Oryza sativa Japonica Group: one gene and its partners. The main gene of each other region encodes a partner of the protein of the gene in region 7 in a complex. Links are inferred from orthologs where the notes say so. Each region holds a gene or a part of one and is shown on either strand. Other genes may lie near its edges. The genes, in order: large ribosomal subunit protein uL13c; large ribosomal subunit protein uL29c; large ribosomal subunit protein bL34c; 50S ribosomal protein L24, chloroplastic; large ribosomal subunit protein uL3c; uncharacterized protein; large ribosomal subunit protein bL21c.

Region 1 (4,514 bases), on a different chromosome or scaffold from region 7:
GTTCTCTTTCATTTGGTGCAAAGGAACAATATTGACCCTTTATATTTGCTATATACGAATGTGTAACATATGAATTTGTGATGCACCCGGTGCTGCAATCTTATCAATGAAAATGATATCATCTTCTGTCCTTTGCACCGTAGGAAAACATGGACACCAATTCTCCAATGATCTTACCTTTTCAGTTATCTTTATTTGTCGCCAGAAACATAGCCTAATTTTGGGTATATGATCCTATATCACCTGTAGTGCTGACTTGCTTGTGTGTGTGGACAATTTAACATGGGGCAATTACTCATTTGACCCTATTTTGATGTCTAACTATCAATTTGACCTTACTTTTCTAGGTTTGCTCATTTGACCATGCTTTTTAAAATTGAAGATCAGAGATGACCCTATTTTGTGAAGGGTAGATAACGGTGTTAACTAAGAGGGAAATTGTCCGTTTTGCCCCTGCTCATTTACCATATTATATCAAAGTTTTTTCTTCATCGGGACTTTTTAAATATTTGCAATGATTTTCATGGCTTTTACAGATCTGAGACAGATTTGTCTTCAATTTAACAGAATTTTACACAAATTTGACAGCATATTGTCCAACAGCAAAGCATATTGTCCAACAGCAAATCAGATCCAAATCCAACAATAAATTCGTATCCAAATCCATCAACAAATCCAACCACAAGTTATCCTCCGTCTCTCGTTCCACACGACGCACGACGGCAGCCGGCGGCGCCGCCCCTCCGCGCGGCAACAGCCGGCGCTGCTGCCCCTCCTCCACCCTCCGTGCGGCAGCAGCCCCGCCGCCGCTCAATCTCTCCGCTTCGAGCACGGCAGCCGCCGCCGCCGCCGCTCCCTCCTCCTGCGCGCCGACGCCGCTACTCCTTCCCTCCTCGCGCGGCCGCCGCCGCCGCTCGCCGCTCCCTCTCCTTCCTCGCGCGGCCGCCACTCCCTCTCCCTCCTCGCGCGGCCAACGCCGCCGCCGCTCCCTCTCCTTCCTCGCGCGGCCGCCACTCCCTCTCCCTCTACGCGCGGCCAACGCCGCCACCGCCGCCGCTCCCTCTCCCTCCTCGCGCGGCCGCCGCTACCGCTCCCTCTACGCGCGGCCAACGCCGCCGCCGCCGCCGCCGCTCCCTCTCCCTCCTCGCGCGGCCGCCGCCACCGCTCCCTCGATGCGCCGCCAACGCCGCCGCCGCCTCTCCCTCCAGCCCGGTCGGCGGCAGCTCTCCCCGTCACCGGCGAGGTGGGGATTGGGACGAAGAGCTGGGGAATGGAATGGGAATCCTAGGGTTAATTTGTAACACGGGGGTATTTTGGTCACTTTAGGGTAGTATTTTTTTTTTCTTTTTTCTAAGTGATGTTCTACCGGTGAAAGCAAAACAGGTCAAATGGAAACTTCAATTTCAAATAACAGGGTCAAATAAACAAACCTAAAAAAATAAGATCAATTTAGTAGTTGGCCTTTAAAATAGGGTTAAATAAGCAATTATCCCATTTAACATATCGGAATTTCTACGCGTTTCTCTAGCTTTGATGCATCTGTGGGCTGCAAAGCCCAGCTAAGCAAAAGGCCCATCTCTTCCTCTTCCCCTTCTGGCTCCCTCTCCCCCCCTATCCCCTTCTTATCCGCTCTGCTCTCTCCACCTCGCCTCCCCGAAACGAAATGGCAGTGGCGTTCCACTGAACCAGGCCAAGCCAGACGGACAAGACTTCGCCGCAGCCGCGTCCTCCTCACCGCGCCGCCGTCGCAATGGCTACGGCCATCGCAGCCTCCGCGTTCCTCTCCTCCGCCTTCGCCAGGGACAGGCCGCTCCCCCGCCAGCGGCGCGCGGCGAGGCCCGCGACCCGCCGCGCCGCCGCGGGGGGCCTGTCGGTGCGGTGCGAGCAGAGCGAGAAGCAGAAGAGGCAGCCGCTCTCCGCGCTCGTCCCCCGCGAGCAGCGATTCATGTTCGAAGGCGACGAGCTCTGCGGCCCCGTACTAACCCTCACCTCTCTTTCTCTCTCCCGTATACATTCTTCTCTTTCTCAGTTCAGAAAATGAATAGTAATGCTACATTCCTTGGATAAAGGGAAATTTTACCGTGATTTAGGATTGCCGCTTATTTAGGAAAGCTCAAGATTAGTCCCATTCATTTCTAAATCCGTAAGTCACTTCATCTTGCTCTATTGGGTCAAATCCTTTCTTTACATGAATAATGTTAGGGAAAATACACAATGTTTTTACATGTTACTATACCGTATAGACCACCATCTTATTTTATTTAAAGTTATCTAGTTGTAATTTATTACGAAAGAGGATTCCATAAAATGAACTGAAAATAACATGGAGGGAACGTTGGTCTTTCTGAATTGGTCGCTAACATTGTGTTGTATTACTCAACAGTGTTCGCACCTACATGACTACCATATCTTTTTATCTGTGGATGTTTAGGTTTGTGAAGTTAGAATTCAGTACGGATACCATTCTTGTGTTCTTTCTCTCTTTTCTGTGCAACCTGTTCTGTGTAGTGATCGGACCAAGGAATTTAATTTGCAGGACATATGGAACACAACATGGTACCCTAAGGCTGCAGATCATGTAACTACTGAGAAGACATGGTATGTTGTTGATGCAACAGACAAGATTCTAGGTAGGCTTGCATCCACCATTGCAGTACACATCAGAGGAAAGAATGAGGCCACATACACTCCAAGTGTGGACATGGGGGCTTTTGTTGTTGTGGTATGTATGTTTCTTGAAATTAATTTATAAAGTTAAATAGTGCACACAATAAGATCCTCTGTAGTCCCACAAAAGGAAAAGAGGTTTAGCAGCACATACAAATAAGCACCAAAAGGTATCTGGAAGCTGAGGTCCACCTGAAGGCATTTTGAAGCTGATTTCATGTATATATATTTATGTTACTGTGTGCTTTTAATACTAATGCATCTCTGAAGAGTAATTGCTACGCATATACTATTGTAAGTTCCTGAACTACCATGCTGAACTCTATGTTCACATAGGTTAATGCAGAGAAGGTTGCTGTTTCTGGCAAAAAGCGGTCACAGAAGCTCTACAGGAGGCACTCTGGACGGCCTGGTGGAATGAAAGAAGAAACTTTTGATCAGCTTCAGAAAAGGATTCCGGAGAGAATTATTGAACATGCAGTGCGTGGCATGCTTCCTAAGGGCAGAGTAAGACATCATCTCTTAGAGCTCTTATCTAGTCAGTTTCATCAAGTCTTTTTGACCTTAAGTCAGCCTACCTGGGTATACATATGCTCTTATCCTTATTTTTGGTCAATTTCTAATACATATCTGAAAATGGGTATCCTCGTTCTGTTCCATTATACTTCATTATTGTGTATAATTCCCCAACTTTATATACCCTGTTCATGGAAATATTCGCTCTAATTGAATGCCGAAACGGCGTGGGCTAACGAAGTACTAGATGTATTCTCCCAAAACTCCTATGTTGCCTGTAAGACATCTTATGATTGCCTAAAGCCTTTTACTTATGCCTAAGTTCATTTATAAAAAAAAAAAACGTTTACTATGTCAACCTCTCAAGTTCTCATATGTTAGTGACACTGACACATGTAATCCGACCAACTACAGCGGTTGTACGTGCTCTATGTAGCCTTCTCAACATTTTGAACATTTTGCAGCTGGGAAGAAGACTGTTTACCCACCTCAAGGTGTACAAGGGAGCAGAACATCCCCATGAGGCTCAAAAACCTGTTCCACTGCCTATCAAGGATAAAAGAATACAGAAGTCTGAGAAGTAGATAATTCCTGTGGAGACTAAGAAAGACACAACAATCTCACGTAAATTCCTCCCCTCGAGATTTTGTCCAATCTTTGGAATGTGATGCATCTGTCTGTTTGGGGAATGGAGTGTAAAATTTTTTGTAATTTACTTCCTCCAAAAGTTTGTGTTTCTAAGTCATAGTTCTTGTTGATTACATATCATGTACCTAATACCGTACGATTTTAAGCAATCCGATATTTCCATATCCAATTGAGTAGTGCAATTTTGACCTGAGATGAGCTTGATGTGTCATTGTTTGGGGGCAAAAGTGTTCTCTTTTTTCAATGGGCATCAGGTGTTTCTAAATTCTCTTAATAGTTGATGTAGATCTGTTAATTAATTGCACGTCCGTGTTTATCTTCCATATAACGAAAAAGTTGACAGTACCAATCGTGTGCTCAAGTAACACCTATTGTACCATGTACTCATTCTGTAAAAAAAAAGCCAATTTAGATGAAGATCTGATACCACCTAAAAATAATGATTAGGAGGTTATCCAGATTTATATTAGGTGGTATCAAATTTTCATCTACGGGGTTGTTTAGATCCAGAGGTGTAAAGTTTCGACGTATCACATCGGATATTATATAGAGTGTCGCATAGGGTGTTCGGTTACTAATAAAAAAAACTAATTACAGAATCCGTCAGTAAATCGTGAGATAAATTTATTAAGTCTAATTAATCCATCAATAACAAATGTTTACTGTAGCACAATATTGCTAAA
Region 2 (3,865 bases), about 23 Mb from region 7:
TGGGAAAAAAATAAATCCGGTCCTGGTACAGAGTGCACGTCATATCGACATAGCCGTTGTATTTGTATGCACCCCTGATACGGCTCATCATGTAGATGCACAATCTTTTACGCCTTAATGCTCACAGTGAATGAACGAACTTCTCGTAGAAAACAAATTGAGTAAAGCAGTTATAACTTGATATATTGCTGTGTTCACAGAGAAAGCAACATGAAAAAAAAAGAGAGTAAAATGGTAGTAGGACTTAATATACCATTACGCATTTACGCTCACAGTGAAAGATCAAATCTCTCTCTCTCAAAAAAGGAGTGCAACAGTCAGACTTGATGCACAATCCATATGCTTCTTGATTCTGCATACCTTTCTGTCATTGTGTATTCAGCTTGTTAATTTCTGCTTTACATCGTTGAAGTGTTTCTGGTTGCTAAATAGGACAAATTTTATACTTGTAGATATACAAATACACTTAATTGAACTTGATTAACATAATTCTGTACAGAGCACAGCTTAAGCAGGCAAAGGTGAACAGAGATGTAGTTAACATGCCTTGGTGCTGATGTGTGAAGGTGTTCCAGATGCTTGGTCTTCTGCTACCCTCAGCTGCACCACCCTCGTACTGTAAGTCAAGAAAGGCCAACTCTTCAGATTTCAGACAAAGACAAAACATGTTACAATGTGACAGTTAATTTTTGGCAACTCATTCATTCCTTGGTGCCAATCTGAGCATTATTCAGTAGCATCGTGTAACACGCAAAAATCAACGAAAACAACAAAAGAAATTCCTTCTTTTTTCTTAATTACAGGTGGAATTAATCAGCTGTGGTGTGAAACTGTGAACCCGTAGGGAAGCAGGGGAGGGAGCTCCCGCTCCTGCATGACGGCATCCGGCGGCGGTAGCACGGTCCTCAGCCACGCCCTTTGTTGCACGGCCAGTGGCCTCCGTCCGAGATCCCCTTGGTGCCGCGACTTGGGGAGAGAGGCGGTCGGCGAATCAAAAGGCAGAAGCGAAGACGGACGTAGCGATGCATGTGATTTCCTCCTCCCCATCCCCAAGCACGGCAACCGAACTCATCGCCCCATCCAGCGACGAGGTGGATCTATGCCACCGCCGCCGAACTTGAGGGGAAAGACGGCACAGAACGGCGCGCTGGCGCGTGGGAGGGTCAGCCTAGGGCGTCGGAGGGGCGGAGGTGGAGCTGGAGCGCGGGGAGGAGGAAGAGGCGGCGACATCGGCGTAGGAGGACAAGTCGACCTCCGACGAATGAGGCGGAGGAAGCGGGGGCGGGGGCGCCGGCGGAGAGAAGGGCATTGCAGGTTTGGTATAACTTTTTCAAAAAGACCCCTAAAACCTCACATATTACAACGAGGTCCACCGCAGCTATTCCACACCGTTGATCTGTGATCTGACGGCTGCGAGAGGGAGACGAAAGCTGGAATCGTGCAGCGCCACGTGGAGGGGTTATTTGCACGCGAATCCGCGTAGATTTCGATATTTAGAGATGTGACATGCATATTAAGCAAGTGAAAGCCGTCCGATAATGCTTGAAGATTCGTGCCCCGAGTGGCTAATCAACATGACCAGATAAACCCCCTTATCCACGAACCCCGACCGGCAGAGAGCGCAGACGCGAGCGCAGCGCAAAAGATGGCGACGATGTCCCTCGCCGCGGCGTCCCCCCTCGCCTCGACTCCCCGTGGGCTCGCCGTCTCCACTCCCCGCACGGCCTTCCTCGGCCTCCTGACCGGAGGGGCGTCGCTGGCGCCGTTCCCGGGACTGGCGGCGGCGGCGGCGCCGCCGCGGCTGCCAGCGGGGAGGGGCGACGCGGCCGTGGCCAGGATGGCGAAGAGGGAGCAGGAGCTGGAGGAGATTCGGGCCATGCCGACGGAGAAGATCGAGGAGGAAGTGGTGGACCTGAAGGGGGAGCTCTTCATGCTCCGCCTCAAGCGCTCCGCGCGCCAGGAGTTCAAATCCAGCGAGTTCGGCCGCATGCGCAAGAGGGTATGTCTCTTACTCCATGGGGTACAGATATACCACAACTGCTAATTCCATTGCGAAAGTTTAGCATTTACTCCTGGCCAAAATGCGTTCAACCTACGAGTGGAAATTCCACCTTCTACTTCCAAATGGGTGTGGAGTGGTCGCATGTTCTGCTCAGTGTGTTCTGTTTACAAGGCCCTTTTGTTCAACCTCTAGTACTGAGTTGATTATGTTCAGATATATTGAGTTGATTTCAGGTTCAGAATAGTGGAATAACTTACCAATTTGTTGGTGGAATTTTGCCTGATTTTTATCAGTTGCATATTGGCCCATACTGAATTTACAGATGATTTGGGTTAATGCTTGGACAATTTCAGTCTCAGAAGCAATTTTTTTTTACTTAATTTGATTAGAAAGTCATGCTGACATCCATTTACGTATTCTTACATAGTATCTACTTTGGGTTTGTAGTATTGTTTATTGGATTTTAGTGCATAGAGTACTACATGAAGAATGATATTGCAATGCAATGTGTATCTGAAGAGCTTTTATACTGTTCTTGGGAAAGTAGTGTTAAATTAACCTTCAGTGGACCAAAATTTAAAATGGAACAAAACTTTGTTCTGAGGACGTCAAAATGCAGATAGTACACAAGAACTAATTCTACGGTCAGTTATGTGATACCTTGTTCTTCTTGAGGGCTTCTGATAAGTCAATTGTTATGAATTATCACTTGCTTTGGAGTTCAGGTCTCCACCTCTGCTCAGGGACAGCACAGGACAAATAGTTAGCAGCAGAGTAATGCATACTTATATCTGCCTCGATCAATGCTTCTTGCCTTTTAGGAGGAGGATATCAGATTTTTTTTTCCTGTTGTTTTTCTCACCCTGCTCATCTTGCTTCAATAGCAGCTTTCTACTATCTAAATTTAGCATTGACTTGGGTTGTCATCTTCGCATCAGATTGCTCGTATGCTGACTGTCAAAAGAGAACGGGAAATTGAACAAGGAATCAACAAGAGATTGTCTAGGAAGCTTGACAGGAAATGGAAGCAAAGCATCGTGGTTAGACCACCACCATCTCTAAGGGAGAACAAGGAGGAATAGAGAGCCACAAAAGCAGACAGTCTGTAGAAGTCATTTCATGCATGTCTTGAAGGAAGGTTTCTTTCTCCCTGTGGTTTCATTCCTTATAATGGATTGATATGTAATTCACATTAACTGATTTCCAAGTCCTTGCTGTCAAAACCAAAAGTTCTATTACCAATTCCATTTGTGTAAATTTCAGTTTATTCAAAATGTGTTGTCCATATATGCACTTATATTACTGATATATGAAACTGTGCTTAACGAGTGTATGCTATACACTTGTTGAAACTCAAACTGCCTATTCAAATTCACCTGTCACAAAGTTGTGGGTACGTACATACTATAAGAGGCAGATATGCAGAGTTCTAAAGAAGTGTCTCTGGAATACGGAGTAACAAAAACAAGAGAATTAGGCCATGTCTATAATAGTTCGCTTGGAATTTTGGTGCCCTGCTTTGCTCCAAACTCAAGTTCACTGTTTTATCAAACGTTTCAAAACTGTACAACTGTCTCCAAGCCCACGTTCTTGTGGCTTGTTGTGTCGGTCACCTAGATTTATGTTATTGTTCAACACTGATTTATGCTTAAACTAGCTCTGTTAGACTGTCCTAAAGCATGTTGGGCTTTCCCCTTCTACTCTAGCTTTAGAGTATGCTGCAGGTATCTCTGCACAGAGCTAGGGAGCCATCCTAGATCCATCATCAGTTTCATAAGCAAGCCCAGGTGGCTTGGCCCTTCAGCCAAAACTTGTTATTCTGATCTCTTCAACAGATCTTAACTTGAGATGTAGAGAGGCTTC
Region 3 (3,997 bases), on a different chromosome or scaffold from region 7:
TCAGGCCGGAGCGGTGGCTCGACGAGGACGGCGTGTTCCGGCCGGAGAGCCCGTTCAAGTACCCGGTGTTCCACGGCGGGCCGAGGATGTGCCTCGGCAAGGAGATGGCATACATACAGATGAAGTCCATCGCGGCGTGCGTGTTCGAGAGGTTCAGCTTCAGGTTCGTCGGCGGCGAGGGACGGCCAGGGCTTGTGTTCTCGGTGACCTTGAGGATGGAAGGCGGCTTGCCGATGCGAGTGAAGAAGAGGAGGGATTCAGTTTGTTAGAATGTAAATGTTCTCTTTGCTACTTGTTGCCTTTCATTTATTCCAGGTTGAGTTCTGGATATTATCCATTTTTTCGCCTGATAGTAGCAAAATTATAAGGTGACAGAGGATTGGATGGGCAATCAGGTTGTTTTACAAATAAGTGTGTACCAAAGAGATTGGCACAGAGGAGGTGGATAAATTGTGTTACACAGTGGAGCATGGAGTGACTATGATGAGATGATCTGAATATTAAAATTCACTGGACTGTATCAGAAAATAAAAGGGACGTTCTACTACAGAATAGAAAAATTGATGAGTTTATTTGAGCAACTGCTCAAGTTAGCATTTAGGCCCTTTGGCAAAATCTATGCTCAGAATGCAGTCAAGATAGATCAGAGGAAAACCATGGCAATGCAGATCAAGGAGAACATATTCCCACAGCAAACAACTACTAAATACTGCACAAGCAAAAAGGCTAACTTGAATTTGTGTTGATAATGTACTTCACACATTAACCGGACACCGGGTGAAGGATTTGCACCAATTGTTATGGTTGAGTATAACCGAGAACGTGGGATAAAAAAATACACTTACAATTGTGACAAAGAGCGACTTAGAATGCGATTCAATCAGAACATTCGTTTCTTCCCAGTGGGGGAGTTCGTCTTTGTGCAGAGAACCCTTCTTCCTTTGGCGCGTCTGCGCTTCAGGACCTTTCTTCCGGCAGTAGTCCTCATCCGTCTGCGAAAACCATGTGTACGGGCAAGCGACTTCCTAGATCTATTTCTCTTGGTCATGCACAGAGCAGCCTTTCCAGCCCTAATCTGCAGAATCCGGGATCTTCCTGTTGTAACTCTGTTGTAGCTGAATTCAATTCCCAAAGATGAACCTGAAATATGTAACATATTAGGATACTGAAATCATTTGTAGGTTGGAACAAATATGGTTTGATACATAAGAACATGGATTTGCTAAATACAACAGTACAGCACAGAAACCGGCTATTTGATTGCCCTTAGTTTGTGTTTTTGTTCTCTAAGATCATTTGGAAAAAAACTCTAGTATGTAAAGTACAGTTCATTTTCCAAAAGGATAATATCATTGCAATAGTTCCTTTAATCTAACGTTATTGGCTTGTTTTAGGAGCATTTTGGTTTTGCTTTAGGTGGCAAGGCTATTAATTGTAACTGAACTGTTTAAAAAGTTGAGTTGTCCAGTTAAACGTTCTTGATTCAGTGATTTCGTTAGTTCGTAGTATAATTATGTTAGATGATATATTTCATAATGAGTTTACTAAATTAAGCTCATGCGCTCGCTCCAAAAAGTGGAGTTTCCTGAGTTTTTGTGATGTTTTCATGATTCTGTCGCAAGAATGTACTACAATCTACAGTCCATCTGGCACTACTGGAAATCACAATATCAGTATCACAGTACATGGAGGAAGAAAAGAAACTTTCAGCCGTGTAGGTTTCCTAACATGGAACCATCTAGAACTAATCACTGAATTATGAATATATATACACGTTCTTACACTAAAAAACTGGATGTGTAAACAAGTGATTTTTTTTAATCTTAATCGGAATCCACATCTTAAGCAAAATTCTCTAGCACATGGTTAACTATAAGAATGCGTGGGCTTTAGGATCAGACATTGCAGATTATAACAAGCTGCGTACAGCAGCTAACAAGTACGGCAGAGTTTGAATTTAAGATTTCTCAGGAAATTGCCAGAATACCATCAGAACTTTCAAATATATCAATTGCATTAAAATCGCTAGTTTAGTTTAGTTATCTTCTGACATTAAGCACTGATTAACTGTACACGCTACCTATCTGACAGTATAAACACTCCATTGTACAGTACTTAAAGCCGAAACCAGCAGCACAAAAGTTCATTCCTCCCTTTCTCTTTGCAGGCAACTCTCTCCTCCATCTAGTTCCCCAACCCAAATGGTAGCAACAGAACGAAGCGAATCAGGAACGAGTAAAGTACACATTCTCACCAGCAAATGAGGAGGCAGAGGTGAAGGTCAGCGACGCCGAGACCGCGGCAGAGAGCGCGGCGGGGGAGGCGGAGGCGGATGACGTGGAGGAGGAGGAGACGAAGGAGCTCCGGAGGAACGGGGTGGCGGCGGCGCCCATCGGGGATGCCCTGCGAGAGCGGAGGCCGCCGCCGATAGCCGCCGCTGAGATCCTCCCGGAGTGGAGTGAGAGAGCCGCCATTGGCGAGACGAGGGCGAGCGCCATGTTTGGGGAGTCGAGGTGCGGTGCAGGGCTATGGCTATCCCCACACAATGTTGCTTTATCGTCTTATCCACGACGAGATGCGATTCTTGGGCCAAATCATGGGCCTTCGTCTTAGGCCCACTCATGTTAGGCCCATTAAGAGGAACAGTTCGTCGTCTTCCTAGAAACAAGTTCACCACCGTCCGCCGCCTGCAGACGGGGCTTTATTACACAATCAGCCACCAGATCTCATCGCCGTCGGCCGTCGCCGTCGCCGGATGGACCCGAGCCGGCCGTTGCTGGGGCGGGGCGCCCTCATCACCTCCTCCGCCCACGCCGCCGCCGCCCTCTTGCTCGTCGCCTTCCTCTTCCTCACCCTCCGCAACCTCCCCATCTCCCTCTCCCCTCCCACCGCCGCCTTGACGCCCACCACGTCCCACCTGGAGCAGCAGGATCAGGCCAGCTGCGACACCACCTCCACGCTCGACTGCGCCGACCCGCAGCTCTTCCACCTCATGATGCGCCGCGCCATCGACGCCTTCCCCGACGTCCACTTCAACCGCTTCGGCCGCCCCGTCCCCGGCGACCCGCCGTCGTCCTCCTGCGACATGGCCTGGCGCGCCCGATCCACCGCCTCCGCCAACTACAAGGACTACCGCCGCTTCTCCGTCGCCCGCGACCCCGTCACCTGCGCCTACTCCGTTACCTCCATCGGGGAATACCACTCCGGCCCCCTCGCCCGCAAGCCCCGCCGCGGCGGGACCAACGCCACCGCCCCGCCGCCCCCACCCGCGCTCTCGCGCTCCCAGTTCGCCGCGGGCAAGTACCTCTCTTACCTTGGCGGCGGCGACCGGTGCAAGCCCATGCCGCATTATCTTCGTAGTCTCCTCTGCTCCATCGCCGAGGCCCGCTACCTCAACCGCACCCTCGTCCTCGATCTCAGCGTCTGTCTCGCCGCCGCCTACGCCGGGGGCATGCCCGAGGAGGGCAAGCGCCTCGCCTTCTATATTGACATTGAGCACCTGCAATCCGTGGTCGGGATCGTTGAACACAAGCGGTTCTGGGAGGATTGGGACAAGTGGGGAGCACAGGGTCAGCTTGGAGTCCGCATCATCGAGGACAGCAGGGTTGCGCCCACCAAGTTCTCCAAGTCGAGGGATCCCCTGATCGTTAGGAAATTTGGGGACGTGGAGCCAGGGAATTATTGGTACAATGTGTGCGAGGGCGAAGCTGAGCATGTCCTCCGTCCACCGCAGGGAGCAATACGCACGGCGCCAAGCTTGATGGACATTGTTGATGGTATCATATCAAGGATGCAAGTAGATTTTGACTCTGTTCATGTTGGTGGCAATGATGGGAACCTCAGAAGAAGGATTGAGGAGAGACTCAATGGAGGAGGAAGGCAGGTGTATGTTGCGGGAGAGGGCATCAACGTGGTCTTGTTGGATGCGCTGAAGGCAAAGTACAGCAGTGTGCATTACCTAGATGCGTTTGAGGAACTCTGGGCGAGAGATAGCAAG
Region 4 (4,325 bases), on a different chromosome or scaffold from region 7:
CAGCACAGGTTGCCGACTTCCCGTTGTTTTCGTGACCTTGATGGGTTGCATCTTCGTCTCATGGGATCTGGACAGGTGTCAGGTTTCCCTCGCGGAGCAAAACGCAAGCAGAAAACTGTGGTTTGCTTACGATCACCTGGATTTGATATTTGCGTGCCATATCTGCTATGTTGATTCTCAGCCGTCAGCACGAGCTCTTGAGCTTTCATGTTATCAATGGCAAATCAGATTTGTTTTTTCCTTTTTCTGACTATAATCTTTTAGCACTATATATTTGTATTTTTTTTCCTACTATATCAATAGAAACATCGCTATCTTTTAGCACTATATATTTGTATTTTTTTCCTACTATATCAATAGAAACATCGCTGCGGGTTGTTTCAAAAAAAAAATTGCTAAGCTTGTTTCTTTTATGATACTCCTATCTTACTACTCCTTAAAAAAAAGAACTTATCAATCATTCATGGGTTTTATATGTACATCTCATCTATATTTCTATATGGAAATGGACCAAATTAGTCAATGGTTGCGAATAATAGCTCAGGACAGGGGACAGCAACAACATTACAAAATCATTTGTATGAGCGAATGTAGCTGAACCATTCTAGTAGCTGGTTAACAAGCCAAGCATGTCATTGGATACAAAAAAATGTTGGCAACTGTATAGAAATTTACAAGACTCTGAAATCTGAATCTAGAAAAGCATCAACTCATTTGGGCATACAAAAAGTGCAGTTCAGAAAATGTGCAGGACTCCCATGCTACCATGATCACTCCGAACTTCCTTCCTTGAACACCTTGACCCAATTCTCAGCACTGTCAATTATTTCACCAGTCTTGACCAGGTACCGAACCTTCGTTCCATCCTCAAGGAATTTGTGTCCAACCCTACTCGCCACATTCTTTTCCTTTGAGTAGAGCATCACATTTGAGCTGTGAATGGGGCCTTCAATCTGATCAAAGAAAACACCAACAACCATAGGTTAACGATCAGGCATCTGAAACTATATATACGACACTAGCTAGAAGCAGCACAGAAAGAAGTTTCAAGAGAAACAATGCTGACCATGACGATTTCACCCGGTTCATCTTCTGTTCCTTTCTTGTGCTTGGACTTCAAGTTCAAGTCCTTCACTATTACAGTGCTGTTGTGCTTAAAAAGCCGCGTAACTTCTCCAACTTTACCTTTCTCACGGCCTGCAATGACTTGTACTGTATCGCCAATCCTAACATGCATCTTGTGCAGGACAGGAAGACTGTTTGGTTTACACTTCTTCCTCTCCCATCGCTTAAGCTGCATTGGAAAAAGGGAAATTTCAGACATTTGAGTAAATAGCAAGCTGCAGACCAAAAAAGAATTGAAACTTACCCTCATTTGAATTGGGCATGTCTTGATCATAAATTTAACCTGCATATAAAAATTTATGCATATCTTGTCAGAGTTTCTTATGAAAATGACATAAAATGTAATAATCAGCTGCTTTTGAGATATGACATGAATCATGCTCACGATGTTTCTTAGGCAAGAATATCTAGGATAATCATATGATCTTTTAGTACGAGTTTCTTCATATAAGTGCAGATTTTAGTACAGTTCATCATATAAGTGCCATATATAGCTCAGTCACTCCATTCAAGAGCAATTATTCGGCCTTATTTTCTCTCATCACCACTTTCCAGGTAAGTAATTAGTCGTGAGTGAGTCTCATTCTGAGGACGAAGTGCAGTAGACTATCTAGAAGAGCTAAGGAACGCCAAAAAGAATATACAAAAGATAGAACAAGTTCAGTCTGATAAGTATACCGAGTGTGCCAATCATTTGCTACAGGCTATCCCCGAGTGAAATGAGTTTCCATCATTTTCCCATGGAAGTCTTCTGTGAAATTTCTACTGTTGAGTAATTTAAAGTTCAAAGGCAAAATTGTTTCTAGCCAGCGAAATGTGATCTATACAGCAGGTTAGAACAAGAAATGGTCTGTCTCACTAGAGGGCACATCTTTCAGAAAAATAATCCTCTGCTTGAAAGGCTGAATATTGGGTATCCATCGCTTATACCACCATAGGAAAAAAATAATATTCAAGTTTAAACTGAAACATAACAGGCCACATCCCATGGTAGACAACACAATTTCTAACTTCTGAATTCACTCAGTTGATATACTCAAACTTGAGATTTCAAGCATTCATTAATTCATATAAACCCTCCTTATACTAGCCAACTAGGTTCAACTATACCACAAAATCCTTGAGACCTTTTCTCTAAAAAAAATATACCACAAAATTTTGACACAACGTTGGTTGTTGGCTAGTTGAGGTCCTGAGCCTGAACTCCTGAAGGCAACAACAGTACAGTGAGGCGATGTAGACATCACCATTGCAATGCCACGCTGTTGGTGAGCTCTAAAATCCTAAATCTCAGTGCAAGCTGGCATTTCTACTTTTCCAGCGAATCATAAGAGCAGAGCAAACATAAAGGAATGCGAAAAATGAGAATCAGGGTTGGGAGTCGGCACAAACCCCAGCCGGCGCGGCGGCGAAGGTGGAGAGCGGGTGGCCCCAGAAGCTGCTGGTGCTCGCCGCCCCCGGCGCAGAGATGGAGAGGGACGCCATCGCGCCCTGCAACGCCGCCACCCCGGCCATCTTCGTCTCCTCCCCTCCTCTTCCTCCCTCGCTCGCTCAAACCGCAGAGAAGCAGCAGAGGATAACGAACGCCTTCGTGTGCTCGCGGACAGGATAATGGCGAGCGCTTTTCTACATGACAAATGGGCCTCTAGGCCGAATGGATTGGCCCACTTGTAAGACTCATAAAGGCCTAATGAAAGGCCTATCGTAATCCAGCCCAACTACAACGGACCTTACGGCCCAAGTCAGCCGCGATCCCGTTCAGGCTCAAATATAGCGGGCCTCACGTAAGCCGCAATCCCGTCTCGACCCAACAAGAACAGGTCGCACCTACACAGATAAAATCTATTGTACATTTCTCATCTCTGCTCCTGATTGAATTACCTCCCTCAACCGCAAAATGGAGGAAAATCGGTCTTATTGTTTGGTTATGCTTATATTTATGAGCCAAAATTTGAATTTGAGAACTTAGTTTTGAATTTGCTTTTTTGTTTTTTTAAAATGCTTATATTTTACAACATTTGCTTTAAGTTATTATGGACATATATAAACATTTTACTCATAAATAAATTTTTATTTGCTAATAAACGATTCGAATAAGCGAAAACCGTAGCAGATCAACCCTTAGATGGTTTGTAGGGTGGTTCCTGTTGACGTGGCAGGCTGACTCGCAGAGAACATGAGGGAGGCAAAATAGACTTACTATCACGCACGTCAGCAATCCGGTTAAGGCCCAAATGTCGTGGGCCGCTCGTCGTCCGCAATCCCGTTTGTGGTCAAGTAACGTGGGCCGAACGTCCTGGGTTGATATGGGCCGACACCCGTTTTCGGATAAGGCCCAGCCCAGCATACGCTCGTCGTCTTCCTCGTTGCGTTGCGTGGCTTCGTCTCCACACGCATCATCACCACGCCACGCGCCGCGAGATGCTGCTTCGGCGGGGGCGCCCAGGCGTGGCGCCTCCCGGATTCCGGCGGCTTCGACGTCGCCGGCGACGCGCGCAAGCCAAGCGACAGTTGCGGAGGCAAGCAACCCCCCAAGTTCCGTCCCTTTTGCGCTTTTCTGGGACCCATTTCCTCTCTCTTTTGGGGGGCGCTTTCGCGGTGACGACGCTGCCGATGCGCGTACGCCTGAGGAGTTCTTCCCCATCACGCCGCGTGGGGGATCGGGACGTCGCCATTTCCGCTGCCGTTTTCTTCTCTTTGGGGGGTTGCAATCTCGCGTTTCATTTGATAGGGTTGGGCGTGGGCGGTGGGGAATGGGGATGGGTAGGTAGATGGCACCGATGTGAATCGGACGACTTCGAATCGAAGCCTTCCGATCCATGTGAGGAGGTTGAGGAACCAACCTAATTTCGAATCGAAGAACTCTTGGTTTCTCTACCTAAAACCAAATAGCATAGTGACAGTGGTCGTTATACTATGAATTCCAAGCTTTTTGACCGAAGATTTCGAATCATCGAGCATCTTTGGCCAAGCTATTCTAACACGGTTGACTCAGAAGTCTACGTTTCTATGCATTGTGTATTTGAGTGTTAGTTACTATATTTCGTGATAAACAAAACTGTTGACTCAAAAGTCTACGTTTATATGCATTGTGTATTTGTGTGTTACTGTATTTAGTGATAAACCTTAGGTGTACATGTGAGGGATTTCATGGATAACACGTGCACTACATTCTTGCCTGTTCCACTGGTCACCATCAG
Region 5 (3,874 bases), about 7.1 Mb from region 7:
GAGCCTGAACTCTCTTGCTCTCCAGCTCTCTGTAACTCCTTCACACACAGATCCACCAGAACACAGGAGTAGGGTATTACGCTTTTCAGCGGCCCGAACCTGTCTACATCGCCCGTGTCTCGTGCATTTGCTCTCTCGCGAATATTCCACAGATCGAGGGTGAAGAACCTCACTTAGCGCCCCCGGCCGAACCGGCAAAGGGGGGCCTGCGCGGTCTCCCGGTGAGGAGCCCCAAGCTCCGACAGTGTTAGTATGTTGCTTCGTTTTGCATGCGAAGGGGGTTTTCAATCCCTCCAGAAGAACATATGCTAAGTAAAGCAATATTTTGTTATATATAAGTGATCAGGTAGAGCGAAGGGCATAGAAAACAATAAAGATATAGCAAAATGTGAATTGTGAAAATACTAGTGATGGAGCGCAAGATTTGTGTTTTTGAATCTCACTCGCGTAGAAGGCAATGGATTTCTCTCGTTGCTTTCAATTCTTGAACAACGTTATTGGTTCGATAGAATTTGAAGTGTTCAATCACTATTTTGTAGTGAGCTATTCTGAACTGTGTTAGTGCAATGAAGGTCATCGAGAGTGCAAGTGGCTAACCTACAAAAACCCACTTATATACTAAAACAAACCATCTGTACCAAACTCAGTTCCCATTGATATCTTCCCACCTGGTGCACAGGGGCACCGTGCTAAGGTACAATTGATCTAGGTAAAAACACTTGACTTTAAGTAAGGACACTGGATAGCACGTTATCTAAAATAAAACTCGGTAAAGTTATATGGTCTCAATGGCAAAGCTAGCAGCATACTTAAACCTGGGAGACAAGGAACGTTTACTAGTGATCCATAAATTTTCGGTATTGCTAAAAATATGTCGCTACAAATTACGATGGATTTCAGTCGGTTGTTTCAACCGTCAGATGCGGATGCAGAAATCATCGCAGTGTACGCATATCCCTCCGATTCTGTTCTCTTCTGATCTCTTCTGTTGTTTTAATGTTATTTGCTAATTAGGATTACTAATTAGTCTTAAAAACTAAATATCCGTGTCATCACAAATTTATAGTTTTGGGAATTACATCAACTTACACATGTAATTTTGAGAATTGCATATGTAATTTTAGTACTTACATATGTAATTTTGGAATTTACATTGTAAATACACTAAAATTATATATGTAATTTAGGGACTTGCAATGTAAATACATGCCGACTATTTTTTTGGTGAAAAATACGGCGCTATAAATATATATATAGTTACTCCCTAAATTTTTACATGTGCTATCAATGGAGAATAGTAGCAACATCAGCGGCGGAGTCTGTACGGTCGCCCGACCTGCCCAGGAGGTAGCTCCGCCTGTCTAGCCTAACCTGTAATTTATTATGCACCCGTGGTATTTTGCAACTGTTACGGAATCCACCTCCCCGGCAAAGAAAGCGTATTCCTAAAAAGCGCCTCTCTGCAGGCGGGAGGATAAGGGGGCATTAGCCGCAAACCCCAATCCAATCGAATTCAACACGAAAAACAACCAAAGCAGCAAGCGAAGCCGGGACACTGCTGGAGTGAGCAAATCCCCGCTCGAATCCGGGGCACCAAGAATGGCCATGGCGGCCGTGGGCATCGGCGGCGGCGGCGGCGGCGCGCTGGGCCTCCTCGCGCCGCGCCGCCGCGCCGCCTCCTGGAGCGGCGCAGGTGGCGCGGCTGCGGCGGCGGCGCGGCGGCGGCCGCTGGTGGCGGTGGTGCGCGCGTCGTACGAGGCCGGGGTCGGGGTGATGGCGACCAAGGTCGGGATGATGACCTACTTCGACCCGGCCACCGGCAAGCCGGTGCCGGTGACCGTCGTGGGGTTCCGGGAGGGCGGCAACGTGGTGACGCAGGTGAAGACGGCGGCCACCGACGGGTACGACGCCGTGCAGGTGGGGTACCACGGCGTCCGCGAGGAGAAGCTCACCCGCCCGGAGCTCGGCCACCTCGGCAAGGCCGGCGCGCCGCCGCTCCGCCACCTGCAGGAGTTCCGCCTCCAGTCCGTCGACGGGTACGACCCCGGCCAGCCGCTCGACTTCGCCGACATGTTCAAGGAGGGCGACCTCGTCGACATCTCCGGCAAGTCCATCGGCAAGGGGTTCCAAGGTCAGTAAACTTGATTATTTTTTTTTACTCCCTTTTCACAATGTGACTACCATTTCGCCCTGTCTGAATTTGAACAATGCTTTACATTGTGAGGAAGACTTGAGAACAAGCTTGAAATTTTGCTGTATCAAATTTACCATATGCTCACCAATGTTAGTGTACAGAATTGTTCTTGGGAAGAATCATTTAGCCTCTTCTCTTGATTAGCGTCCTAGACTTGCACAATGGCATTGCCAATATGGCAATGTCAATGCTGTTCTTGGAGTTGCAGACCTGTACCATGTCAACACATTCGTTATAGTTCACAATTTATTGCAACCATCAGCATCACTTGTATAATTTTCATGAAGTGAATATAACATCGTAAACCCGTTGCAATTGCGCTCTTGATTTGCTGCGACCAACGATTTGCCAATACCGCAAACATTATCCATTTCATGTATATTCTTCCCAAACAACATAATAAAAAAGACACAAATATTAGAGAAGGACCTAATATCAAATAATTAGAATGGGTGAGGCTTCGAACCCAGGTCGTCTAGCCTACCACCTTGTGGAGCTAGTTGGAAGACCCCTGGGTGTTTCTCCCCAAACAACATAATCGTTTATAGCATTCTCATGAAGTCAAGAGCACCAATATCTCTTTTAGTTCCTGATCATCTAATGGCAATATGGCATAATTGTGCAACTATGCTCTCAATTTGCGACTGACGGTTCTTGGACATCGACACAGGTGGCATCAAGAGGCACAACTTCAAGCGAGGGCTGATGACCCACGGCTCCAAGAGCCACAGAGCTCTGGGATCGATCGGTGCCGGGACGACGCCGGGTCGGGTGTACAAGGGGAAGAAGATGCCCGGGAGGATGGGAGGAACCAAGACCAAGATCAGGAAGCTCAAGATCGTCAAGATCGACAACGACCTGAAAGTTGTCATGATCAAGGGCGCCGTTCCAGGGAAGCCCGGGAACCTCCTCCGCATCGCTCCTGCCAAGATCGTCGGCAAGAACATCCCCAAGAACTAGACTATTTTTCTCATGTGTTTCGTCCTGTTCTGTGAGATTTGTGATCTGTTGTTTACTGAATTACTGTAAATTGGAGATGTTCTTTGCCCATGTCCAGGTTTTGTATACGCGTAACTTTGAATTTCGTAAAGCTAATTTTTTTTCTACTCAATCTTATCGATCTCCCGTTCTCAGTTCACACTCTCTTTGGACTAGAAGCTAACAGAATCTTAATCATCTTGTGCTTGGATGTCAAATTTGCAATCACTGTTTATTCTGTGTTCAGGGAATGGAAACATGTAATGGTAGACGGTAGTGTAACAAACACATCTTGAGAATCAAACTTCACCAAGCGTCAACAATCTGACAGTTTTACCAACTTCTCCAATACTGAATTATTGTAAACTCTCATGTCTGAACAACCGAAGAGTGCAGAGCGCGACATGGCCAACCGCAGCAAGTGCAACAGAGGGAAAATGTTAACTAAGCATCATGTACAAACTACACATCAAGTGCAACAGCACGAAATGTCAATGTAAAGCTTCCAGTCACCATTAACGCTAACTTCTACAATATCTTCAGCAATGACACAGGGACAATAGGTTTCTTGCATCAGTCAATGCGACACATTATTAGGCCATGAAATATTCTCACACAAGTCACCGAAGCTGGTAGTCCAACAGAACAAGACCTAAAACTGACGAAGCAATAGTTTCCATGAAATTAGCTGAGTTCCATGGC
Region 6 (2,816 bases), on a different chromosome or scaffold from region 7:
ACAAATGTGGCAAGATTCCTCTTTTATAATCTAGATTTCACATGTAAGTGACTCTAAAAAGTGTGGCATGCTTTTATTTTGGGCCTGTTTAGTTGGTGAAATGAAAATTTTTGGGTGTCACATCGGACGTTTGACCAGATGTTAGAAGGGGTTTTCGGACACGAATAAAAAAAAACTAATTTCATAACTCGCCTAGAAACCACGAGACGAATCTTTTGAGCCTAATTAAGCCATCATTAGCACATGTGGGTTACTGGAAACCACGAGACGAATCTTTTGAGCCTAATCAAGCCGTCATTAGCACATGTGGGTTACCGTAGCACTTATGGCTAATCATAGACTAATTAGACTCAAAAGATTCGTCTCGCGATTTACATGTAAACTGTGTAATTAATTTTTTTTATCTATATTTAATGCTTCGTATATGTGTCCAAAGATTCGATGTGATGTTTTTGCGAAAAGTTTTTGGGAACTAAACATAGCCTTTATTGGCTAGAGCGTGGCTTGGATTTTGATGGCCTCAACTTTAGCGAGAAAACATGGTAAACCTTAGCAATGTTAGTACGTGAACTAACAGCCCCTTACTGCTTATTCTGAAGACCGGACAAACTGATGTATGCAACGATTCTATTCGAGAGCCCAGACCAACACTAGCATGCATCGATTCAACGAGTTGGAAATGTCCAATTACAGAGTGTGCAAATTGCAATATCTCCATTTTATATCGATGTCAAAGAGTACAGGCAGAGAACAAACAGTTCGATACCACAAATATGATCACACGTATCCACTGAGAACACCGATCGAACACCTAGAGAGCAATGCGAATGCACGTGTAACGAGAGGCGCAAGCAAGAGGAGCTAATCCATTTTACGCAATTCCCAAAATCAACCAAGAGAAACCGCACCGGCGAGGCCGGCGGCGGAGGCGAGAGGCGAAGCGGGGGCTCAGCTGGCGCCGGCGGATCCCTCCTCCTCCGGGTCGAACTCCGGGTCGCCGTCGGGGTGCATCTCCCTCCACTGGTCCTCGGGCCAGTACTCCTTGATGTGGCCCCACTTCTTGCGGAACTTCTCGATCTGGCTGTCCATGACGACCATCGCCGACGTGTCGCCGACGTAGTAGGGGTGGTTCCCCGACCACACGTCCACCGTGTACTCCGGCTTGGTTCCCCCCGTCACCAGCACCAGCTCCCCGTTGCAGTACACCTTCGCGTCCTCGTAGATCTCCGGGTGCAGCCCCTTCTTCCGCATCGAGCACCGCATCCTCTGCACGGCAAATCGTCACACCACCGCCCAGTTCCAATCACCTCCTCCGAATCTCCGATTCGGCGGCGCTACGCCTACGCGGTTGTGGGGGCATCGAAGGAATCGTACCTGGGAGGGGACGAGGGAGCGGAGGGTGGTCCTCGTGGCCGCCGCGGCGGCTTGGGTCGGGAGGAAGGAGGTGGAGAGGGAGAGCGCCATGGCTGCTGCTTCCTCGCGCGCTCGCGTCGCACTTTGCTCCGGATTCCCCTGTTTCGTGTCCCTTATCGGTTTCTGGTGTGTGTTATCCTCTCAAGCGTTGATGATTCTCAATTTTTGAGGCTTTGGTGCCGTGCGGGTGGCCGCTCGCCTGCCTCGCTTTGGCTGGGCTTTCTTAATTGTTGTTTGGTTTGGGCTGATACACGTTGGTTACTTACTGGCCCAGAAAAAAAAATGTATGCAATTATTTCGTTTACGTGGTAAAAATATGCAGAATTCCTAATTCTCGCATACGCGCCGCGGGCGCGCACTTCTGGCCCACGCGTATGCACGGCACCGCACGGGCGCGGTTAGATTCTTTCCATAGCGCATGTAGTAACTAGTCCATTAGTTTTAGCGTGTAAAAAAATACATTAGTTTTAGATAATCAAGATAAGATTTGTTTTTTCCGAAAATTTTTTAAAGTAACAGATTGAAAAGAAATTTATACATCAAGTCAAATTCTGAAAACTTTCAACCCATATTTGAAAACTTTCAACTCGAAATTTGAATTTTTTTTAAAGTCAAATTTTGAAAACTTTCAACTTTTCATCTCAAATTGAAAAAATTCAACTCAAATTTAAAACTTTCAACTCAGATTTGAAAACTTTCAAGTCAAATTTAAAAACTTTGAAGTCAAAATTTAAAACTTTCAACTCTACATTTGTAAAGGGGTGTGCGAAAGATTAAAAAAATAGAAAGAAATGGCGAAAAAAAAGAAAAACGCACCCGGATCCAGGCGCCAAAATCGTAAAAAAAAAGTGAGAAAGAAAAGCACGCGGGAACAGGGGAGGGGGCCAACTGACGCGGGCGCCAGCTAAATTGCTAGCACGTACGTGCGCATTAGCCTCCCCAAAGATATGGGTTAATTGGATCATGTTATTGCAAGTTTACCAATTTGCCATTACTATTCACGATATCAGGTTCATGCCACTGAAATTTTGCAAAATTTGAGCTATGCCACTCCGTTACAACAACTGTCAATACCTCTGTTAGCTCAACACCGCACAACGCAGATCAGTTTCTTCTTCAACTCAGGCGAAAATCTGGCGGTTCTCAGGCTCGTCGACGACTGCACGGAGAGAGCTTCTTCGATGAGGGCGTTGCCAATCCGGTGACGATTGCAAGCTTAATACCCAATGAAGGGAGGTGGAGCTGGAGGGGAGTGACGGTCATGAACCCTGCATCGCTGGTGGAAGGTGGAGGGAAGCGCCGAGCCCAACCCATGCGTTGGAGGGGAGTGGCGGTCACAGACCCCACGCCGCCGGTGAAAGATGGAGGGGAGCGCTAAGCCTAATCCCCGCACTGGAGGGGAG
Region 7 (4,170 bases):
TAGTTTATGAACCTTTACAGTGGTCAAATTTTTACTTCAACAAGGGTTTCAATTAGGCAAAAGATGTCTGAAAACCACTATAATTCAGAACTGTAATATGCAATTAGGGGTGAAGGACTACTGAAACAGTCATAGTTTGCCAAAAGATTATACGCCTTATGCCACTGGTTATCTTTGGTAAGGATTCAAAAGGGCAAAACTTCTGCAGTTCTTCATGAACCAAGGTTCTAAAAAGTGGTAAGCAGAATCCATGCAGCCACCTGCCTTGTAGATGCTTATATGGCCTAAGTCCTAACCAGCTGCTTATGTGCCCTAAGCAGTACAAGGTTGCACACAAACACCTTATATATGGCCTTGCAGAACTTCTCTTAGAACACTCGAATAAATCATGACCAGAACTGCATTGAACATAGTACTGTAACTGATCCCAAAATATTAGGACATAGCCCGTTCAATAAACTAAGCACCATTGGTACAGATGCCAAAAACAGTGAAATTAGCATCAGTAGTCACAAAAACTGTATAAAGTTACACAAACCAAAGCTAAAACATCCGTATCGTGGTAAAATGCTCTCTCTTTTTTTAAGCACAGTGAAAATAATACAGTTGGCTAGGATACACAATATCAGAATGAACAAAACAGATGGTGGAATAAACAAAGGATGGAACAACTGGATGACTGGCAGCACTCGAACACATGAACAAAGCAAATTTTGTTCAAAAACTGTTCTTCCAGACAAGAAAAGGTAGCACTCGTATTCTAATGTACTACCAGTTGTTTGTAACTACAGAACTTACAATTGCTCTTAAGCTGGAACATACTCAAGTATCGGGTCAGCAGGGAAGTCCTCGTATCCACTTATGCCGGTAATTCTTAACCTTGTGTTTGGCTGCAAAACAACAGAGATTTTTAATCTAAAAGAACTCTAATTGCTTCGCTGTAAAAACTGAATCAGTATTTATCAATAAAATTCTACCTTTCTTGAAGAAGGTAATTGGAAAAACTTACCTGTCTGTGACCAAGTTTCCTCTGGTACTTCTTCTTCTTCTTATATTTGAAGACTATCACTTTATCATCCCGTCCCTGATATAAAAATATTGGGGAGACATCAGGGTCAAGTAATTTTGAATATCCATGATTAACCCGACAACATACAGAGGACATACCTGTTCCTCAACCACTGCATGAACAGCAGCATTGGTCACCACTGGCATGCCAATGTAAGCCTTGTCTCTAGTTGATACCAGTAATACCTTGTTTAATATTATCTGCACATCAGCATTATCCAGAAGTGAGAATTTCTGGGAAAACAATACTAAAAATGCCAGCAACATAAGCCAACGTATGGGTCCTATGGGATTGGAAGCTTTGCATCAGAGGAGTAATTTTAGTTAGAAAAGGAACGAAGCTAATATATGCAGGCTACACAAAACTTATCGAAAAGTTCTGAATAAGATATTTATGTGAAATCAGGAACTGGGATTGAAGTGTTATAATTACAGGGAAGTGACTCTTTTACTTCTAAAATGAAGTAGGTCACTACCACTTTCCATAATTTCAGAATGTACAACCTTCCTCGTTGTTTTGAAGTTTGTTATTGCATCTCATGGATGAAAAAGAATAATAACCAAATAACCAATACTATATATTTGCCTTTTCCTAATTTACAATCACCTTATCTAGAAGCCACCTCAGCATCATATACCTTTTAAATTTATGGATTAATACAAACCAACTAACTAGCAAAAATAGGCCAAATTTCTAGTTAGGGTGTAACAAGTATCCTCCTGCATCCTCTAAAGTGGAAGCACCAGACCTGATCATTGACATTGGCGCCTTTCAGCCTCTGCGTGTATATATACCTTCCAGGCATCACAATGTACTGTCTCGACCCAATCTGCGACAGAAGAAAAATAATCAAAATAGCTCCCTCGTTATTATTCACAGCGCTCATACAAAACAAAACACAGAGAAACCCTCCTCAGATGCACTCCTGCATATTTCAGAAATGCATCCGAACAATTCTCTGTAAGACTAGTATTGTATCATTCGAAAACACTGTAATTCTCTGCGCCGTTTTCTTAATGGTGTGTCCTGTACATACTAATAATCGGCGTGCGCGCATTCCTATTGGCGCGTGAATCCTAAGCTTCTTATGCAGCATAGAGTAAGCAACACAAGCCTGAAATCAAATGCTCACTTCACCGCAAGAAGCAACGCAACTAGCGCCAAATGCCTGTGTAATGATATTATTTAAAGAATTCGAGGTAATGTAGCATGAACAAATGTGATTCTTTTTTTGTTTGTTTGCAGTGAGCCGAGCAGGACTAAATCTGAAATATTGGCGGCAAGGGCAAGCTAGCCCCACCATGACAACGGCGAAGATGTCGGCGTCCTTCCCGGCGCCCGCGGCTGCGATCTGCGCCTCCACAGGCTCCGGCACCGCAGCCTCCTCTTCTTCAACCTCCTCCTCCTCTACCACCTCCGCCTCGGCCTCGGCCTCCACGGGTGCGGGCGCCGGCTCCTCGGCGGAAGCGAGGAGCCGCCAGCAGCGGCGGGGCGCGGACGCGGCGACGGGGAGGGAGCATCGCGAGGCCGGGAGGGACGGGGCGGAGGGGAAGGCTAGGGTTTTGGAGGCGAGGAGGCGGAGGGGCAGCGTCGCGGTGGCCATGGCCGGCGCGCGGGGGGGAAGAGCAGTGTGGATGAGAGTGTGGGCTATCGTATCGGAAAGAAAGAAGAGGGATAATATTGTGGATAGGGAGGTTACCCTGAGCCGTTCGATTGGAGATCAACGGCTCAGATTAGATACCCATGAAAAACATGAAACTATGCCCTACTAGTTTTTTAGCGATACTGCACGTACTCATTTTGTTTCTCCTTTCTAAAGTTTAGAATCGTTTGATTTAATCAGTTAAAGATTATAAAAGAGTTGGATCGAATGTGTTGATTAGACCATAAAGAATATGCGAATTAACACGAGTGATGAGAACTCTCGTGAACTCTCGGACGAAAGAGCCAAACTGAACTACTACGCCTCCTCGACCCCTCTTCCTCACAGGCTCGGGTGACCTTGCCGCCGGCGAGGTGAGGGAGAGAAGTCCGACAAACTCTCTCTTTGTAGGTCAATCAATTTAGTTGGGTTTTTCTTTTAGTTTGAGCGTGAAGGTCGGCGATGTTGGCCTTCTAGTCCTAGGTTTCATGGAGAAGGCAATCGAAGTTTCTTCTCTAGTGGTATCCCTCTAAAACACCGGGTAATTCTCTATCACCGTGAGTTAGGAGAAAGCTAGACCTAGTTAAGGGAAGTTAGGCAAGTTATCTTTCTTTTCTCCAGCAGGCTTTTCGCAAGGATGATAGTTTTCTTCCTCTTTATTGGTGGCAAACCTTCAAGAAGCAGTTGAGTTTTGTTTGCTATATGCTTGGATTCCTCAACCTTAGGCTATGGAGGCCCTAATAAGGTAAGCTTCTTGGTGCTTTTTTATGCAACTTGCCATGAAATCTTTGTCTCTATCACCAATATCAACGATTAGGTTGTCGACCTTGATGGTTCTGCTCCAAGAACAATCTCATTTAGCTCTGGATGTACTCATCTATGGTATTGATGAACCTTTTCATGAATTGTCATGGCCTTAACCTCTATTGTTGTGAAACCCTATTTGGGAATGCGTCAAGGCAACATCTTCTGTAGCTCGCCGTGTCCATGTAGCACCCACTGCCATCAAGTATGTCACCAGTCACCACCAATGTGGGCATAAGACAGAGGAGGACCTGATTGTTGTTTTTTTTTTCAAATCTTGTTGAGTCCTCCTTTGCTTATATTTTGACCTAGCCATCTTAAAGAGACTATCTTCCGTACTCCCAGTTCTATCAACAATGAACATTGACATGTTCAGTAGTCACATTTCTATGGCATTGCTTCGACTGTGTAGCCGTAGCCAATGCAAGGTATAGCGCACTATTGCTTGGCCTGTTGCTATATGCTGCAGCCCATGCAAGCGCATCAAAGGCTATCAAACAACATTGATAAACTGTGAGACTGTTATCTAAGTTTGTCTTTAAAAACAAGAGTACAAAGGACAACCTTTTTATTATTTGCAATGATAAGTTTTCTAAATTATTAAGAAACTGTGCAGTACGATTTCCAACATAAAAGAATATCACTTTAAAGGCCA

The links.
Region 1: large ribosomal subunit protein bL21c (region 7) and large ribosomal subunit protein uL13c share a complex: the UniProt entries of both Arabidopsis thaliana proteins name them as parts of the 50S ribosomal subunit. The link is inferred for Oryza sativa Japonica Group from reciprocal best matches to the Arabidopsis thaliana genes RPL21C and emb1473.
Region 2: large ribosomal subunit protein bL21c (region 7) and large ribosomal subunit protein uL29c share a complex: the UniProt entries of both Arabidopsis thaliana proteins name them as parts of the 50S ribosomal subunit. The link is inferred for Oryza sativa Japonica Group from reciprocal best matches to the Arabidopsis thaliana genes RPL21C and AT5G65220.
Region 3: large ribosomal subunit protein bL21c (region 7) and large ribosomal subunit protein bL34c share a complex: the UniProt entries of both Arabidopsis thaliana proteins name them as parts of the 50S ribosomal subunit. The link is inferred for Oryza sativa Japonica Group from reciprocal best matches to the Arabidopsis thaliana genes RPL21C and AT1G29070.
Region 4: large ribosomal subunit protein bL21c (region 7) and 50S ribosomal protein L24, chloroplastic share a complex: the UniProt entries of both Arabidopsis thaliana proteins name them as parts of the 50S ribosomal subunit. The link is inferred for Oryza sativa Japonica Group from reciprocal best matches to the Arabidopsis thaliana genes RPL21C and RPL24.
Region 5: large ribosomal subunit protein bL21c (region 7) and large ribosomal subunit protein uL3c share a complex: the UniProt entries of both Arabidopsis thaliana proteins name them as parts of the 50S ribosomal subunit. The link is inferred for Oryza sativa Japonica Group from reciprocal best matches to the Arabidopsis thaliana genes RPL21C and AT2G43030.
Region 6: large ribosomal subunit protein bL21c (region 7) and uncharacterized protein share a complex: the UniProt entries of both Arabidopsis thaliana proteins name them as parts of the 50S ribosomal subunit. The link is inferred for Oryza sativa Japonica Group from reciprocal best matches to the Arabidopsis thaliana genes RPL21C and emb2184.

The regions. Positions count from the first base shown.
Region 1 is NC_089035.1:31,965,490-31,970,003, forward strand, and holds large ribosomal subunit protein uL13c, read left to right. Parts: upstream 1-1,655; 5' UTR 1,656-1,750; coding exon 1,751-1,975; intron 1,976-2,536; coding exon 2,537-2,722; intron 2,723-3,003; coding exon 3,004-3,174; intron 3,175-3,647; coding exon 3,648-3,767; 3' UTR 3,768-4,000; downstream 4,001-4,514.
Region 2 is NC_089036.1:32,213,442-32,217,306, forward strand, and holds large ribosomal subunit protein uL29c, read left to right. Parts: upstream 1-1,614; 5' UTR 1,615-1,645; coding exon 1,646-1,999; intron 2,000-2,940; coding exon 2,941-3,084; 3' UTR 3,085-3,360; downstream 3,361-3,865.
Region 3 is NC_089035.1:34,739,981-34,743,977, forward strand, and holds large ribosomal subunit protein bL34c, read right to left. Parts: upstream 2,523-3,997; 5' UTR 2,499-2,522; coding exon 2,255-2,498; intron 1,142-2,254; exon of another isoform or gene 1,141-1,141; coding exon 881-1,140; 3' UTR 708-880; downstream 1-707. Other genes in the region: uncharacterized protein, read left to right, coding at 2,756-3,997. UniProt on the Arabidopsis thaliana protein: This protein binds directly to 23S ribosomal RNA.
Region 4 is NC_089040.1:29,338,613-29,342,937, forward strand, and holds 50S ribosomal protein L24, chloroplastic, read right to left. Parts: upstream 2,721-4,325; 5' UTR 2,641-2,720; coding exon 2,518-2,640; intron 1,409-2,517; coding exon 1,370-1,408; intron 1,295-1,369; coding exon 1,067-1,294; intron 954-1,066; coding exon 771-953; 3' UTR 549-770; downstream 1-548. UniProt on the Arabidopsis thaliana protein: One of two assembly initiator proteins, it binds directly to the 5'-end of the 23S rRNA, where it nucleates assembly of the 50S subunit. Required for optimal plastid performance in terms of photosynthesis and growth.
Region 5 is NC_089036.1:1,980,013-1,983,886, reverse strand, and holds large ribosomal subunit protein uL3c, read left to right. Parts: upstream 1-1,505; 5' UTR 1,506-1,599; coding exon 1,600-2,131; intron 2,132-2,864; coding exon 2,865-3,154; 3' UTR 3,155-3,305; downstream 3,306-3,874. UniProt on the Arabidopsis thaliana protein: One of the primary rRNA binding proteins, it binds directly near the 3'-end of the 23S rRNA, where it nucleates assembly of the 50S subunit.
Region 6 is NC_089035.1:25,929,309-25,932,124, forward strand, and holds uncharacterized protein, read right to left. Parts: upstream 1,549-2,816; 5' UTR 1,465-1,548; coding exon 1,375-1,464; intron 1,267-1,374; coding exon 949-1,266; 3' UTR 688-948; downstream 1-687. UniProt on the Arabidopsis thaliana protein: Binds the 23S rRNA.
Region 7 is NC_089036.1:9,030,797-9,034,966, forward strand, and holds large ribosomal subunit protein bL21c, read right to left. Parts: upstream 2,719-4,170; 5' UTR 2,673-2,718; coding exon 2,370-2,672; intron 1,899-2,369; coding exon 1,818-1,898; intron 1,270-1,817; coding exon 1,168-1,269; intron 1,085-1,167; coding exon 1,010-1,084; intron 891-1,009; coding exon 807-890; 3' UTR 561-806; downstream 1-560. UniProt on the Arabidopsis thaliana protein: This protein binds to 23S ribosomal RNA in the presence of protein L20.